Rattus norvegicus: one gene and its partner. The protein of the gene in region 1 interacts with the protein of each later gene in a pairwise test. Links are inferred from orthologs where the notes say so. Each region holds a gene or a part of one and is shown in the gene's direction. Other genes may lie near its edges.

Region 1 (8,421 bases):
TTGAGGCTTCTCTGTGATTGCAGAGTGCTTAGAACCTGCGATGCCTGCTGGACCCTAAAACTCTTAAAATCATAATGGGGAGTTTTTCGTTTTGGTTTTTGGTTTTTACACAGTTTCTCTATATAGCCCTGGCTGCCTGCTGCCTCCCAAGGACTGGGATTAAAGGCATGTGCCGTCAGCACCCAGCTTCATGTTTTAATCTTAACTCCTGGCTTTCCTTTATGGCCACAGCTTAGATCTTTACAAATCTGCCCAGAGGTACCTTCACAGGAAGTGAATCAGGTATAGGACCGGCATCTTCCTCAGTGACAGACTCCTGAGAGAGGAAGGACCAGGAGATCAGGGAATGTAGATAGGAACATTCGGGGTCAGTATCATGGAGTATCCACCAGAGAAGACGGCTCGAACATGGGTTTAAGCCCATAGAAAGTCCTTATTAGCTGACTGGCAAAGATAACCGGATGTTTGAGATACCAGTGTAGCCCTGAACCTTTCTCAGAATGGGCTTTTGTGTTCTTTGAAGATTGACATACTTCAGTTAGGAACAGTCAGAAGTGGAACTACAGAAGCCAAAAAGCAATGTTAGTACACGGAGACTTTCCCAGACCTGTACGGATTTTGACGGATTAGCTCTTTGTTTTAGTTTGGGCAGATGACACACCCACAAGGCAGGCAGCAGTGGCCCGTGTGACGGCCACACACCCACATCAAGGTTTCTATTAGTTTCTGGCCCCCAAACTCCTGCTCTTAGCAGTAAATCAGAAAGTGGTAGGCAGGGGCTGGAGAGATGGCTCAGCGGTTAAGAGCACCCGACTACTCTTCCAGAGGTCCTGAGTTCAATTCCCAGCAACCACATGGTGGCTCATCTGATGCCCTCTTCTGGTGTGTCTGAAGACAGCTACAGTGTACTTATATATAATAAATGAATAAATCTTAAAAAAACAAAAAAAAGAAAGTGGTAGGCAAGAATGCCTGGAAAGTTCCACTCTATATGCTTTTGTTTAAAAAACAAACTCATTGAATTTTACACCCTGAACGGTATTTCCATCATGGAGTTAGCTGTGCTAAGGTCTTGGGGGACTGCTAAGTCCGGGGCCCTGTTACAGTTTGGAGGTCTTATCCAAGCTCTATCTTTTTTTTTTTTTTTAAGATTTATTTATTTTCATATAGGTAAGTACACTACTGCTGTCTTCAGAACACCAGAAGAGGGCATCAGATCCCATTACAGATGGTTGTGAGCCACCATGTGGTTGCTGGGAATTGAACTCAGAACCTCTGGAAGATCAGTCAGTGCTCTTAACCGCTAAGCCATCTCTCCAGCCCCCAGCGCCCCCCCCCCCACAAGCTCTATCTTAACTCATCATCTAACCTGTAGGAAGGCTTCCCAGAGGCCCTATGAAAAGACAAAAGGATTACTAGTTCTGTGTCCTTGCCTAGGTGCGGACTTGACAAGATCCGGTCAGAGGCTGGTGCCAGGGCCTTGAAGGATTAAGGATTCAGTTTGTGGGAACTTGACTTTTCTCTCCTGAAGGGACCCGAGTAATCAGTCCCAGGGCTCTCCTGTGCTTGGTCTATGATACACCTGAGATAGCCTGTGCTCCTCTTGTGCGGCACTGCTTGATTAGCTTCCTGACCATTGTATGGTCGCTTTCTGCTGAATCTGTAACATTTTCCACCTGCAAACTGTATACAAGATTGTTCTCCTCCTCCTCTTCCTCCTCTTCTTCCTCTTCCTCCTCCTCCCCTCCTCCCCCTCCTCCTCTTCTTCCTCTTCCTCCTCTTCCTCCTCCCCCTCTTCCTCCTCTTCCTCTTCTTCCTCCTCCTCTTCCTCCTCCTCTTCCTCCTCCTCTTCCTCTTCCTCTTCTTCCTCCTCCTCCTCTTCCTCCTCCTCCCCCTCTTCTTCTAAGACAGGTGTATTGGCTAGTTTTGTGTATCAACTTGACATAAGCTAGAGTCATCAGAGAGGAAGGAACCTCAGATGAGTAATTGCTCCATAAGATCCAGCTGTAAAGCATTTTCTCAGTTAGTGACTGACAGGGGAGGGCCCTCCCTGGGCTGCTGGTCCCGGATTCTATAAGAAAGCAGGCTGAGCAAACCGTGGGAAGCAAGTCAGTAAGCAGCACCTCTCCGTGGCTTCTGCATCAGCTCCTGCCTCGAGGTTCCTGCCCTGTTTGAGTTCCTGTCTTGACTTCCTTTAGTACGAACAGCAATATGGGTGTGTAAGCCAACGAAAGTCCCTTTTGTCCTCAACTGTGCTTTTTGGTCATGGTGGTTCATCACAGCAATGGAAACCCTAACCAAGACAACAGATATCTCTGTGTAGCCCTGGATATCCTGGATAGCTTTGTAGACCGGACTGGCCTTGAATTCACAGAGATCCTCCTGCCTCTGCCTCCTCAGTGCTGGGATTAAAGGCAAGCTCCACCAGGACAGACAGCTCACTGAGTTTTTTTTTTTCTTGTTTTTTTTTTTAACATTTCTGTAGTCTATGATGGTAAAAATACAACAAACTGTGGTTTTGGTTATAAACCAGTTTTTTTAGTGGTTGTAAATTGCTAGATTCTAGTGCAGTTTGGTTTAACCATTTGACTTAGGGTTAACTTCATTAAAAGCTTCAGTTTTGCAATAGATGGCAGTCAATACAATTGATCCATGAACAGAGAGTAAGACACTATGAAAATGCAGTCCTAAATGAAGCATTACACACACACCAAGGCCTCAGGGATCTTTGTCAAAAGTCAGGACTGCCGCACACAGGAACTCACAGTGGCTGACTGACTGATCTTTGAAGATCAAGCGAGCCAAGCAAGCCTTCAACATGGTTACGTCCTTAGATAACCGCGAGCTGAGAAGTTATTGTCAATTGATGGCTGATGCGAGAGTGAGTGTTAGTTTAATTCAAGCACAGCTCCTACACACACACACACACACACACACACACACACACACACAGAATTCTTCCCCTGATAGACAGTCCCTGCTCCAGAGTACCCGTGCACATACTTGGGTACTAAGTTGTTTTCTATAAGAACACAAGAAGTTGGGAGGGAAAAAGCTATGGGGAGATTTGGAGCAGCTTCAGTGGAGGGTGGATTTGATCTAAACATCGGCACGTAATAAAACTCAAAGTTAAAAAATTAAATTTGGGGGCTGGAGAGATGGCTCAGTGGTTAAGACCACTGACTGCAGCACTGACTGCTCTTCCAGAGGTCCTGAGTTCAATTCCCAGCACCCACATGTTAGCTCACAACCATCTGTGATGAGATCCGATACACTTTTCTGGTGTGTCTGAAGACAGTTGCTGTGTGCTCATATAAATAAAATTAAATTTAAAAAAATGTGCTTTGTTTAAAAAAATAAAATTTGTAGGGATTTGGAGCATCTGTGTTGGCAGAGTCACCACCATGCCTCTAGCTAAAGTTCTTTTTTTTTTTTCAGGGACTGGGGACGGAACCTAGGACCTTGCGCTTCCTAGGTAAGCGCTCTACCACTTAGCCAAATCCCCAACCCCGCTAAAGTTCTTTTTATTCCTTTGGACTGCACCTAAGAAAGTGTGTTAAGTGTGATTCTAGGACACTATTATGTAGCCGGCCTCAAATTTGTGCTACAGCCAGTTTTGACCTAGGAAATTTACAGTCCAGGTCCAGCCTAGGTTAGAAACGCTATGATTCTGGACGTGGCACGCCCACTGTGTGCCTTTGTTGATGGTTTTGGGTTTTCTGATAGAGCAGCTTTGACCTTATTATTGGTTACCAATTAGCACTTAGTTTGGCCCTTAGTCGGGAGATGATTTTCCTCCCGAGCTTCACGGGAGTGACGTTAAGATAGCTCCTAGCGACTCGCGGAGCATCCAACTGACGCCTTGCCCCCGCTGCGGGGAACGCTGGGAAATGTAGTCCTTCCCGGCACCTCCTGTGGTTCGGCCCACTACTGAACGGGCGGCAGACTACAGTTCCTAGAATCCTCCACTCCACCTTCTATTTGAGGCCGGAGGCGGCGTGGTGGGAATGTCGCCGGTGCAGAGGTGGTAGGCCTGGCGGATCCGAGCGGACTGAGTGGAGTCGGAACCCGGGGCTCTGGTTGGGCTGGGTTTCCGTGGCTCTGTTTCTGAAAGGACGGCTCTTAACAGGGCCCCAAAGGACTAGGGAGAAGCACGGCTGTATCTGAGTTCCGATGGGATGGGCGCGCGCGGGATGGAACAGTGAGGGGGCACCATGCCTGGCCTGGCGCGGCACTCCCGGAACCGCTGTGGCTGAGGGGCGGGTTCGCGAATTTTAAAATGCCTTCATGCAGTTGGTTGAATATGTGAAGACGTTATTCTGGGATACTTTGGCCTTTACAAGCCGCCCCTAGGAAATGTCCCTCCAGGTCTGGGAAGCTGCGACGGAATACATAGGAGATAGCACAAGTTATTTGGTGTGATGTGAGCCAAAACGCGTTTGGACTTGTAGGTCGCTAAAGTTGCCATTGCACAGGAGAAACACAAGCATTCCCCTGTGTCCACAACCCCAGTACACTTTGCATTTTAGTAAGAGGCTAGGCACACCAAGAAGACAGATGAGCGCCGCAGCCGCCTTTCTTCCTAGGCATGTGAAGGTGGGTTTGGGTGAAGTGAAAGAAGCAAAAAGGAGGTAGGGAATGCTGGGAAAATCTGTTCCCAATATGAAATGTTTACCATCGGTGAGGGAAGAAACCAGAACTCACTGTCAGGCTTTGTATTGGATACTGCGTACAGAGAGATTCCTGGCAAGGGATTTGGGCCAGGATGTGTTTTCCCTTTCCATTTGGCTTTTCACCACTTCCAGGGCTACTTTTAAAACACTCTCCGGGGTTGGGGATTTAGCTCAGTGGTAGAGCGCTTGCCTAGCAAGCGCAAGGCCCTGGGTTCGGTCCCCAGCTCCGAAAAAAAGAAAAAAAAAAAAAAAAAAAAAAAAAAAAACCACTCTCCAAGCCAAGGAAAGGCCAATACCTACCCCCTCCCCCAATCACCCTAGCCCAAGAACTTACTATAGTGGTTAAAGCTGGTCCCTAACTCATAGCAATCCTGCTTCAGCCTCCAAGTGCTGGGATTGAGAGTAGGAAGCACTATGCCTAGGTTTTTTGGGTTTTTTTGGTTTTTTTTTGTTTTGGTTCTTTTTTTTCCGGAGCTGGGGACCGAACCCAGGGCCTTGCGCTTCCTAGGCAAGTGCTCTACCACTGAGCCAAATCCCCAACCCCTATGCCTAGCTTTTTCTTTTTCCTTTTTTTTTTTTCCTTATTCTTTTTTTTTTTCCCGGAGCTGGGGACCGAACCCAGGGCCTTGCGCTTGCTAGGGAAGCGCTCTACCACTGAGCTAAATCCCCAACCCCTTCTTCTTCATTTTTTAAATTTTATGTGTGTGGGTGTTTTGTCAGTGTGTCTGTACACCACATTCATGAAGTGTTCTGGGCAGTCAAAAAGTGCATCTGTCCCTAATGGGAGTGACAAGAGATTGTAAACCCACGTGGGTGCCAGGAATCCAGTCCAGCTCCTCTGGAGGAGCAACCCGTGCTCATCTCTGTCTTGATTTTGTTTTGTTTTGTTTGACAGGATTTCTCTGTGTAATCCTGGCTTTCCTAGAACTCACTCTGTAGACCAGGCTGGGCCCAAACTTAGAAATCCTCCTGTCTCTACCTCCTGAGTGCTACCACCTCCAGGCCACTTTTTTTTTTTTATTACATACCTCAGGTTGTCTAGAACTTGTGACCTTTCTGCCTCTCAGCCTCCCAAGTTCTAGGGTTGACACCAGGTATGTATTATCATACCCACCTCAGGAATTTTTTTTTTAACTTCACTTATTCATTTGGGGTAGTGGGGCACCCATGCACATGGAGGTAAAAGGAAAACTTGCAGGAGTCAATTTTCTACCCCCCTCCATCTTGTGTGCCCTAGGGTATCCAACTCAGACAAGTTGGGTGGTGCCAAAAGCACCCTTACTCGCTGAATGGCACTCAGTTCATAAATTCTGGGCTTATAGAAATAGGTTTGACCAATTCCTGACTGTACTGAGGATGGCCTCAAACTCAAGAGATCTGTCTGTACCACCTGAGGGTGGTGATTAAAGGCATGTGCCACCCCTCCCTCACTGGGCTTTGAGCTCTTTAAGTGAAGGACCCTTGGAGCTAAGCGCTAGTAAGTGCAGCATTTATGTATTAGTGTATTTGCTTGTTTGTTTTTGAGATTTATGGAGCCCAGGCTGGCCTTGAATTTGGTTTGTAGCTGAGGCTAGCCTTGAGCTGCTGAATTTTTTTTAAAACCTCTTCCCAAATCTGTTATTTCAGGGCTATGCCACCATGTCCAGCTAAACTACATATTCTTGCAAAAAAAGGTTTTATTTTTAATTATATGAAAGTATGTGTGCGTGTGGGTGCAGATGCCTTTGGATGCCTGAGGCCTAGAGTTCCGGGGGGCCTGTGAGCTATCCAGCGCAAGTGCTGGGAACCCAACTGAGGTCCTCTGCAAAACCAGTTTGTGCTCTTGGCTCCTAAGCTGTCTCTCCAGCTTCAGCTTTTTTTTTTTTTTTTTTGGTTCTTTTTTTCGGAGCTGGGGACCGAACCCAGGGCCTTGTGCTTCCTAGGTAAGCGCTCTACCACTGAGCTAAATCCTCAGCCCCCCAGCTTCAGCTTTTAAGCAGTTCCTTTGATTTTCTCTATTAGGGAAGATGACCTTGCTGGGCAAGAGTGCACATGACTGGACAGTGAGGAGCTGCAGAAAGCCCCAAAGCCAGGATGGTAGGCAGAGTATAGCCCAAGGCTCGGGAAAATAGGCACACCCCACCCCACCCTCAACATCTTGACTGCATAGAATAGAAGTTTTGTGGCAAGGACCAGGAGATGGTCCCATGGAAGGGCAGCATTAGAAAAACTTATGCATTGAGCTGGGCCTTAAATTCCAGAACATGGAGGTAGAGGCAGAGGCAGGCTGCTCTCTTGTGATTCCAGGGCAGCATACACAGGGAGACCCCTCCCAGCCTCCCCCAGCCTCCACAAAACAAACCTTTAAGCAATGAGCAGCGTTTCCCTTGAGCCTCTATTTTTGTTGTTTTGGTGAGGCATGGTCTCCCTGTCACTCTGTCTGGCCTGGAATTGCTATGTAGAAGACCAGGCTGGCTTGGCACTCATAGAGATCCACCTGCCTCTGAGTTCTACGTGCTAGTGTTGAAGGTGAGGGCCATGGTGGCCTATATCCTGAACCTCCGAGTCCTCTGAATTTCCTGCCAGAAACACGTTTTTCACTAATTTATTCACTTTCTATCCCAATCTCAGGCCCCCTCCTGGTACCCTCCCTCACACAGCTCCTCCTCCTTGTTCTCTGAGAAGGGGGAGCTCCTGCACAGGTATTACCCCATTCTGTCACATCAAGCTACTGTAGGACTAGGCCAGTCCTCTCCCACTGAGGCCAGAAGGGCAGCTCAGTTAGGGGAACAGGATCCACAGGCGGGCAACAGATTTAGGGACAGCCCCCCACCAGTTGTTGGGGGACACTGGAAGTGTCTTTAGACCCTTCAGACACAGAAGAGAACCTTCCGGTTACTGCCTCTGGGAGGGTTTTACGTGCGGTATCTGTAACTCAGAGAAGTGTCTGTCCACAGCCTGGCTCTGCTCTGAGTAAATTCATTCTCAGGAGCTACAGGAAAACAGAACTGACTTCATCTGCAAATGCTCCTTCCTCCAGGGCCTAGAGAAAGGCAAAGCACATTTCTTGCCCAGTTCTACCACATGCTCGTGGCTGGATTTTGTTAATGTGATTTTCTCCCCATTTTAGGCACTGAAAGCCAAGAAAGGATTGAAAGGTAAGAGGAATATCACCTGTAATCCAAGTATTCCTCCTCTTCTTCTTCCTCCTCTTCTTTCTCCTTCCTTCTCCTTTTTCCTTCTTCCTTCCTTTTTCTCTTCTTTTGTCCTAGAACTCACTATGCAAAGCAGACCAGTCTTAAACTCAGAGAGATCTGCCTGCCTATGCCATGTGCTGCATTAAGGCATGTGTCACCTCCACCTGGCTGAGATCCTTTTTAATAAATGAATAAATAAAAATAAAAAAATAAATAAATAAATAAATAAAACAAAACAAGCTGGTGAGTGAGAAGCAGCAGGTAGAGGTATCTGAGGCCTGGGAGGAGAGAGCTGACTCCAGGTTAAGGTGTCTCATGTCTGATACCCTGAACCCCTTGGACCTAAGTGGTGGAAGGAAGGAGAGAAGCGACTCCTGCAGATTGTCTGCTGCCCTCCACAGGAGTGTCAGGACACGCATTTCTGCTCCAATTTAAAGAAAAAAAAAAAAAAAAAAAAAAAGAAGGAAGCTGGGTGTTGGTCACCCCTGGAGTCCAGGACTCAGGTGCAGGCAGGCTAGTCTCTCAGGGTCAGCAAGTCTGCTCTACACAGGTCCAGGACAGCCAGGGCTGTG
Region 2 (7,652 bases), on another chromosome or scaffold:
CTCCTATTTCAGCCTCCAGTGTAACTGGGTGCACTGCCAGGCTTGGCTTCTATGGCTGCTTCTAATCCAGCTTGCAAAATTCCTTAATATTTCATCAGATTTCTTAAAATTTCATCAGATGTCCCAACTCTCCAAAACTCAAAATTAGTTCCAGTAATATTTCATTTACCTAATAGATCTAAAATATGATCATTGTAGCTGGTAATGAATGTACAATTATTGATATTTATTAAAACTTGTTTTTAGGAAGTCTTTACAGTTCAGATTAGCCACCTAGTAAATGCTCAGTTGCTACAGAATACCAGTGGCTTCCATGTGGGACCAGCTCTAAGGAGTGACAGAAGGGAGGGGAATGGCTGGGCCCAGGCATGGAGAAGTACATGATTCCAATTCTTCTGGGCCCCTGTCCAAGAACCCTATGTTATTGTCTGTCTTTGACCTTGTAGCCATGATGCTCTACTGCTACTAATTCAGTACCTGGTTATACAAGGGATGGTCTACAAGGGATGGACCACTGTATGCAAAGGGTGAGATTGAGTTGAGCCTGCAGAAGACAGTGCCTTGAGTCCCTACTATAGTTGGATCCAAGGACAACCCTGGAACCTCCTCCGACCTCTGGGAAGGCTGAGCGTCACGACTTCCCACCGCTACTTCTGCACCCACCCCTCTCATTTTTGTTGTATAGAGAGCTTGAGTCAAAAGTTCTGGATATCATTTCAGTGCTGCCGCTTGCTAGCCCGGGGGCCCTGCCTTCACTTTGTGAGCCTTGCCTTGCTTATCTGTGAAATGGGCCTGGGGATGCTGCCTTGTACTCTTTGCACAGTTTCTCTGAGAAGCAGGAGAAACCCTAGATAGGCCAAGGTGCTGTGTGGATGTAGGCGACAGTGTTGGCCGTCAACCTTGCTCTCTCTCCTGTGTGTCCCCAGCTGACACAGAATGACATGCTTCATGTGGAGCCATCTCTGCTGCAGTACCCTGACTGGAGAGGGCATCGGTTGTAAGTAGTCACCCCAGGCCAGTGGGTCCCAACATGGGACGTGTTGGCCTCCAGGGAGGTAGAGTAGAGCTGAGACACATTTCTGGTTGGTGTAACAGGAAGAAGGGTCAACTGGCCAGTGGTGTGCTCTTCACCCTGTAACGTACCTCAACAGGGGAGCACCTCAACAAAGTGTTGTTCTGTCTACAACATCAGGAGAGACTGAGTGGAGAAGCTGGCCATAGGCTGAGAACATAGTTATGGAGACCTGGTGACCATGGGCTGGCCTGTCAGCCTCAGCTCCATCCCCAGAGCTCCCAGCTGGTTCCCATGACCCTAAGTCTGTGACAAGTGAGGAGACTGTCCTTGGTTTTCTAGAAGCTTTAGAGATGACAAGGGGGCTGACTGGGGCCCACTCTCAATGGTTTGATGGGCCAGGGGATGGTCCTGACTGTGCTGTGCACTGATAATTTACTGAGGGTCAGACACTATTCTAAGGGATCCATGGTCCAGATGGTGAGCTCTGGGGCAGGCCACTGGGCATGAGTAAGGCCTCTGCCACTTACTAGCAAGGGAGACAATTCCTTCAAATTCTCTCGGTTTCTTTATTTGTAAAATGGGAATGATAGTAATGACAGCCACCATGAAACAGTCTCTGAATAATGTTTGTGTGATGTTGGAGCTCAGCAAGAGCCATGGTTAACAGTCCCTGTTATAATAGTGTTTACTGTTATCATTATCAGCTAGATGTATGTGGTGTTTGTTTCTTCCCCTGGAGTCTCCTGATTAGGTGGGGGTGGGTGTCCTAGACCCAGAATGCTTTGTGGCTGGATGAGGGAGGGTATGCTGGAATGGAGATAAATGTCTGCCACCTTGGGAAGGGAGGATGGGGCAGTGGCCGCCAGCCACCTGCCGGTTCCCAGAGGGGCTCTGGAGTATACTAGGCTGAGTATGCTCTGACAAGTGTCATATTTTGTTGGTCTGTTCTTCTAGCCTCCGGAAAGAAGTGGCAAGGTTCTTGTCTTTCTATTGTAAGAGCCCGGCACCCCTCAAACCAGAAAATGTGAGTTACGCCTTCCCTAGGAGTGGAGGTTGTCAGGGAGGGCGCTTTGGGTCTGCCTCTCACTTAGTTTGCCTCCCAACCCCATTGTACTTTGGTCCTCTTGACTTTCCCACCTTTGGGAGAGATCCTCAGAGTGATCAGTTCCATCTCTCATTCACTTGATCAAGAGCAAGGTACCCTGAAATCAGCTTGGCTGGGAGCCAATGGAGACCTCTGTCAGGATGGACCTCCAGGGCACTTTCCATGGCCTTTCTTCTCTGTCACCTGACAGAGGCATTCTTGTCTCCCATCACTCCCAGGTGGTTGTTCTGAATGGCTGTGCCTCTCTCTTTTCTGCTCTGGCCACAGTGCTGTGCGAGCCAGGAGGTAAGTGGACTCCATGTCCTACTCCCTCAGCTTTTGTCCAGGGCTGTGCTGGGCTGTGACCACAGTTGTCTGGGTGAGGTGCTGGGGGTGGAGCCCAGGGCTTTGTGTGTGCAATGCAAGCCCTCTACCTACTAGGCTACATGCCTGGTCTTAGGAAGTTTGAACTATGGCAGGTTCTCTGGCTAGTGCCGTGTGGTGGGGTATTTTCTCACAATGCTGTGCAGGGGCAATGAGCTCCCCGACTCTACCTGCAGGCAGTCATGAGATTTTTGAGTCAACACCAATACTCTGCCCTGTTATACGTTGCTAGGATATTCAGGAGATTAGGCGGGTCAAATACATTTCTATATATTTTTCCCTTATAGTGGATTAATCTGGATGTGAACTCATCATAAGTGAAGGAGCATCTATATCAGAAGAAACCTGATCTTGGGGGATCCAAGCTTTAAGGTTTTGGGAGTTGAGAGCAAGGATTTGCCCCAAATGTTTCCCAGAGATGGTGGAGGCTAGGAAGGACAGTGGCACACATGACAGGGTCTGAAGTATCCAGGTCAGAGGCTAATGGGCTCTACTCCTGCTCCTAGAAGTCCTCTTGATCCCCACCCCTTACTACGGAGCCATCACCCAGCACATCTATCTCTATGGCAACATCCGACTAGCCTATGTCTACCTGGACAGCAAGGTAAGATGCCTGCAGCCCAGTTCTTGCATCTGCGTTTTCCTGGTTCTGAGGCTGTGGGTGGATGTGAAGGGAGCCTGTGTTAGGGGCTTTGGAGCTGCTATAAAATGGGAGTGGAGCCTTCTGTTGTCACATGGATGTCTCTGCCTGGGTTCCTTGGAAGCTCCAAGCCACAGATTCTAAGATCCTGGATCCATGGAGAAGCCAAGGACTAGCCTCATAAATGAGAGGGTGGAAAGGGGCAAGCTTAGGCCTTGGGAGTCCTGAGAACCAGTCAGAGAAGCCTTGCTGCCTCTGCCAGAAATCTAAGAGATAAGATGGGGTGGAAGGCAGGAAGGGGAAGCAGTCCTTCCTGTTTTTCAGAGGCTGTACCCAAGAGGCTGGGGACGATAGGGAAAGAGAGTCCCAAGAGTTCAAGTTTGGGGTTGGGGCCATGTCACTGAATTTGGCTTCTGACTTTGGTGGGTCTTTTCCCAGGTAACTGGACTGAATACACGTCCCTTCCAGCTCACCGTAGAGAAGCTGGAGATGGCCCTGCAAGGAGTTAACTCTGAGGTTGGAGATTCAGTCAAATCCAGGACTGGGAGTGGGTGGATTTCAGCAGGGGCTAGACCTTTCATCTCCTGGGCTTGTTACATTGATAGGGACATCTGGGGGGGTGGATTATGGAGCCATCCTGGGAATGCGGTCAGACAGAATCCTGTATCTATGGAGGGCTTTTTCATTAGAAAAAGACTTTGAAACCACAGTATATAGAGGACCAGGGAAGTTCATCAGAAATCCCCCCCACCCGAAAAAAAGGATAGCAGATGATGGTGGGATAGGATCATAATTCGTTTTATATATGCACGAAAATGTCAAAAGGGAAGCCCATTATTGTTTTTAATGAGTGTATGTGCCTTAGTTACTGTTCTATTGCTGTGAAGAGATACCATGACCAGGGTAACTCATAAAATAAAGCAGGAAGGAGAGAGGCATGGCACTGGAGAAGTAGCTGAGTGCTTTTCATTCTGGTCTGCAGTAACACACTACCTCCAACAAGGCCACACCTCCCTCATCCTTCCCAAACAGTTCCACTAAAGACCAAGTATTCAAACGTGAACCTTTGTGTATGGGGGGGTAGGGGGCAGATTCTAATTCAAACTACTACAGTATGCTAATTAAAAAGGACACTCCTTGTACTCTAGTGCTTTTGTTTCTGCTTCAGGGTCAAATGTGGGTCACAGGAGTCTATAGTTTAGTGAGTCTTTCTGGCAAATTGAGGGGTGATCCTGCTCGTTTTGAGGGGCTTCTTAAGAAAGGCAGAGACCTGAGTTCCTGCACTTGCTTTCCGCCCATGTTCAGCATCTGTGCACTTCCCTGCATTTACTGTTGCCATTCAAGCTGTCAAGTGCTCAGTGCAGGAACCGTGAAAGTTCTCACCTCCCACTTACAATTCCTCTGACACAAGCAGCCTCTGTGCCAGCAGCTGACGCGTTTCCCTGCTCCCTGCCTGCTTTCTTTCCATAGTAGGGACTGCACGGCAGATGTAATTCTCGTCCTACTCATCTGCTTCTCGTTGGGTCAGGATCGTGTTCTTGCCATGCTTCCCTGGGCAGCTACCAGCTTCATCCAGTGAGACTGTAAGGCTCTGGAGTTGGGGGGGGCATGTACTGACATACCCCCTGGATGGTTTCAGGGTGTCAAGGTTAAAGGCCTCATCCTCATCAACCCCCAAAACCCTCTGGGTGATATCTACTCCCCTGAAGAGCTGCAGGACTTCCTGGGATTTGCCATGAGGTGAGTTCTGCTTGCCCCACAAAGTGGGAAGAGAGAGTTCTGATGTGGCCTTAGACCTCTGTGGGCAACTACCTGCCGTGGTGTTTCCCTATGTTTCTCAAACACCATCTGTAATGCTCTAGGACCAGGCACCATGCTGAACACTTGATTATTTATGCATTTATGTATTTATTTATATGTTTATCTGTGTCCACATGTGTGTAAATGTGGGAGATAGCAGTCATTCCTCAGATGCTTTGCTTTTGGGAAAGGGTTTCACTGGTCTCGAGCTTGTCAAGTATGAGAAGCTATCTGACTAGTGAACCCCAGGGCTCTGGGTATCAAACTTGGGCCTTCATATTTGCAGCGCTTTACTGACCAGCTGATCTTCCCAGCTGACCACTTTCTGTGGTTCTCCTCACGGCAGCCCCATAAAAAATGAACACTTGTCATCCCTGCTTGACAGAGCCTCAGAGTGGTCCAATCAGGAGTGGGAACAGACATGAGTATGAGTTTGTCTCCAGCCCATCATGGAGGACCCCAAGGGTGCCTCCTCTCTATTGCAGTGCTTCAAAAGCTCCAGAATCCACTGCTTTATATGTGCAGTCCCCCTTTGTAAAAATATAGACCAACGTGGTTATTCCTGGGCAAATGGTTTGGTAGCCCTGGGCTACACTGTGGTCCCCTGCATTTCTGATGTACTGCTATTCAACAGTGAGTGACATCTTTGGCTCTCTCCTTCCTACTACCTACCCACTCCAGGCACAAGCTGCATGTGATCATGGATGAGGTTTACATGCTGTCTGTTTTTGAAGAGTCTCTTGGGTACCGCAGTGTCCTCAGCCTGGAAAGGTGAGACTCCCACTGTAGCTGGTCCTACCAGTCCCTGAACTGTCTCAGTTTCTCCAGCTTCTATCTAGGTCAATACACACGGCCTGCCTGGCCTGCTGCCCCAAGGTAGTTCTATTAATATCTGTCTGATCTCACTGGTCCTCAGGCTAGGGGCAATTAGGTAGACCCTGTCTTCAGATTATTCTATGTCATTCCCAAGAACTCCAAGGCTTGGCATCCTTTGAAGGCATATTTGGTATATGGGAAACTGGACTCTGGCTGTTTAATTTGTATTTAGAGTAGCCTCATTTTTATCTACCCATCAGTCTTTCTGTCTGTCCGTCCATCTACTCATCCATTCATCTGTCCCCTCATCCCTTTGTCCATCTATCCCTTCATCTACCCATTCATCTGCCCACCTATCCATCCATCCTCTTATCTATATTTCTAGATAGGCAAAGGTCTCAGAAGCTAAAGACATAGCTAGCAATTTCAATGATAGTGGCAAGTATGCTGAAACAGAGGTAGCAAGGAGCTGTGGGAAGGTCTGTCTGAGGCACCTGCTTGGCCTGGACTCCTGGGGTTGGTTAGGGAAACCTTTTGAGGAAATGGTGCTTGAGCTAAATTCCAGCTCAGATGTCAGGTCTATAGATCCAGTGAGCTTGGTTGTATTCTCATATAATGTTATTTACAGACACAGGCAGCAGGCCATCTGCTGGCCTGTTCTGAGAGAAGCATGAGAATCGGTGGTTCAAAGACACGAGACCCAGTTTCATCCATCCATCTACTCATCCATCCACAGATCTGCGATCTGCTGGGTCTAGGTTGCTTACGTCTCCATGCTTTCTTCTCTGTAGGCTGCCCGACCCCCAGAGAACACATGTGATGTGGGCCACCAGCAAGGTGAGCTCCTGGCTAGCCTGGGGTGGTGGGAATAGAATTGGTTTCTTCTGTGAGGGTCAGCCATGGCCTAGCATGTGTCTTCTTGTAGGACTTTGGGATGTCTGGGCTTCGCTTTGGTGTCCTGTACACAGAAAACCAGCACGTGGCTACTGCCGTGGCCTCCCTCTGCCGCTATCATGGCCTCAGTGGTCTGGTCCAACACCAGATGGCACAGCTGCTCCAGGACCATGGTGACTGTCTGGGTCTAGGGGCTTGAAAGAGAGGAGTGGGGTTGGCATGCACGTAGGACTTGCTGGGGCTCATGAGTGCCTCTCCTGTGGGGGAACTTGGGTGATGTCTGAGAGTGTCATTTCTGGGTCCAGACTGTACTCAGTTGCTTGCTTCCTACTTATGTAGTACATGTCTTCACCTCTCTGAGCCTCAGGTCCATCATCTGTAGAATGGGGCTGATAACAGTGCTAGCCTTGTAGACTGAGCATGATCTGTAATCTGGTTAGAACCTTCCATGGCATACAATGGGTGCTTGGCTAACGTGAGCTCACAGGCTGGGTGCAGTGCTGTGCATCTGTACTCTTAACTACTTGGGAGGCTGGAGCAGGAGGATGCTTTATGGTCAGGAGATCTGGGATAGCCTGGGCAATCTAGTGGGACTACACCTAAAAAAAATTGAACTTATGATTATTATCTTTGGACACTTTCAAAAGAGATCAGGAGTTACTGAGAAAATTCTGTGATGGAGAGCTCTCTGTCTCTGAGTCCTGTGCTCTGTCCCTGCTTCCCGCCATGGGTTTAGATGGTGAAGCTCTCGTGGAATTGTTGTTCACTCAGCCTTTCAGATGCTCTCTCTTTGTCTACCTCACTCCCTCCTAGGACCCTGAGAAGAATTTCTATACAGTTCCCCCATGGTTTTACAGATGAGAAGGAGGACAAGATGCTAAATACCCAATCTAATAGCATAAAGTTTTGTAGAAACAGTGACAGGCCCTCACACCGGTAAGGGAGGCGAGCCAGGTCACTTGCTCCTACACTGATGTGGCCAGATGTTTCAGCCACAGTGACAAACAATTCAATACTTA

What was found. The genes of interacting proteins can lie anywhere in the genome.
Region 2: the proteins of Fbf1 (region 1) and Accs interact in a two-hybrid assay, tested with the Homo sapiens proteins (2 studies listed by BioGRID and IntAct). The two-hybrid records come from large-scale screens. The link is inferred for Rattus norvegicus from reciprocal best matches to the Homo sapiens genes FBF1 and ACCS.

Annotation. Positions count from the first base shown.
Region 1 is NC_086028.1:101,895,986-101,904,406, reverse strand, and holds the start of Fbf1 (fas-binding factor 1), read left to right. Parts: upstream 1-3,926; 5' UTR 3,927-4,557; coding exon 4,558-4,596; exon of another isoform or gene 4,597-6,595; intron 6,596-6,674; exon of another isoform or gene 6,675-6,746; coding exon of another isoform or gene 6,747-6,749; intron 6,750-7,782; coding exon 7,783-7,810; intron 7,811-8,421. UniProt on the Homo sapiens protein: Keratin-binding protein required for epithelial cell polarization. Involved in apical junction complex (AJC) assembly via its interaction with PARD3. Required for ciliogenesis.
Region 2 is NC_086021.1:100,263,788-100,271,439, reverse strand, and holds part of Accs (1-aminocyclopropane-1-carboxylate synthase-like protein 1), read left to right. Parts: intron 1-926; coding exon 927-997; intron 998-1,969; coding exon 1,970-2,039; intron 2,040-2,338; coding exon 2,339-2,405; intron 2,406-2,786; exon of another isoform or gene 2,787-2,855; intron 2,856-2,989; coding exon 2,990-3,087; intron 3,088-3,561; coding exon 3,562-3,639; intron 3,640-4,762; coding exon 4,763-4,863; intron 4,864-5,604; coding exon 5,605-5,694; intron 5,695-6,530; coding exon 6,531-6,576; intron 6,577-6,664; coding exon 6,665-6,806; intron 6,807-7,652. UniProt on the Homo sapiens protein: Does not catalyze the synthesis of 1-aminocyclopropane-1-carboxylate but is capable of catalyzing the deamination of L-vinylglycine.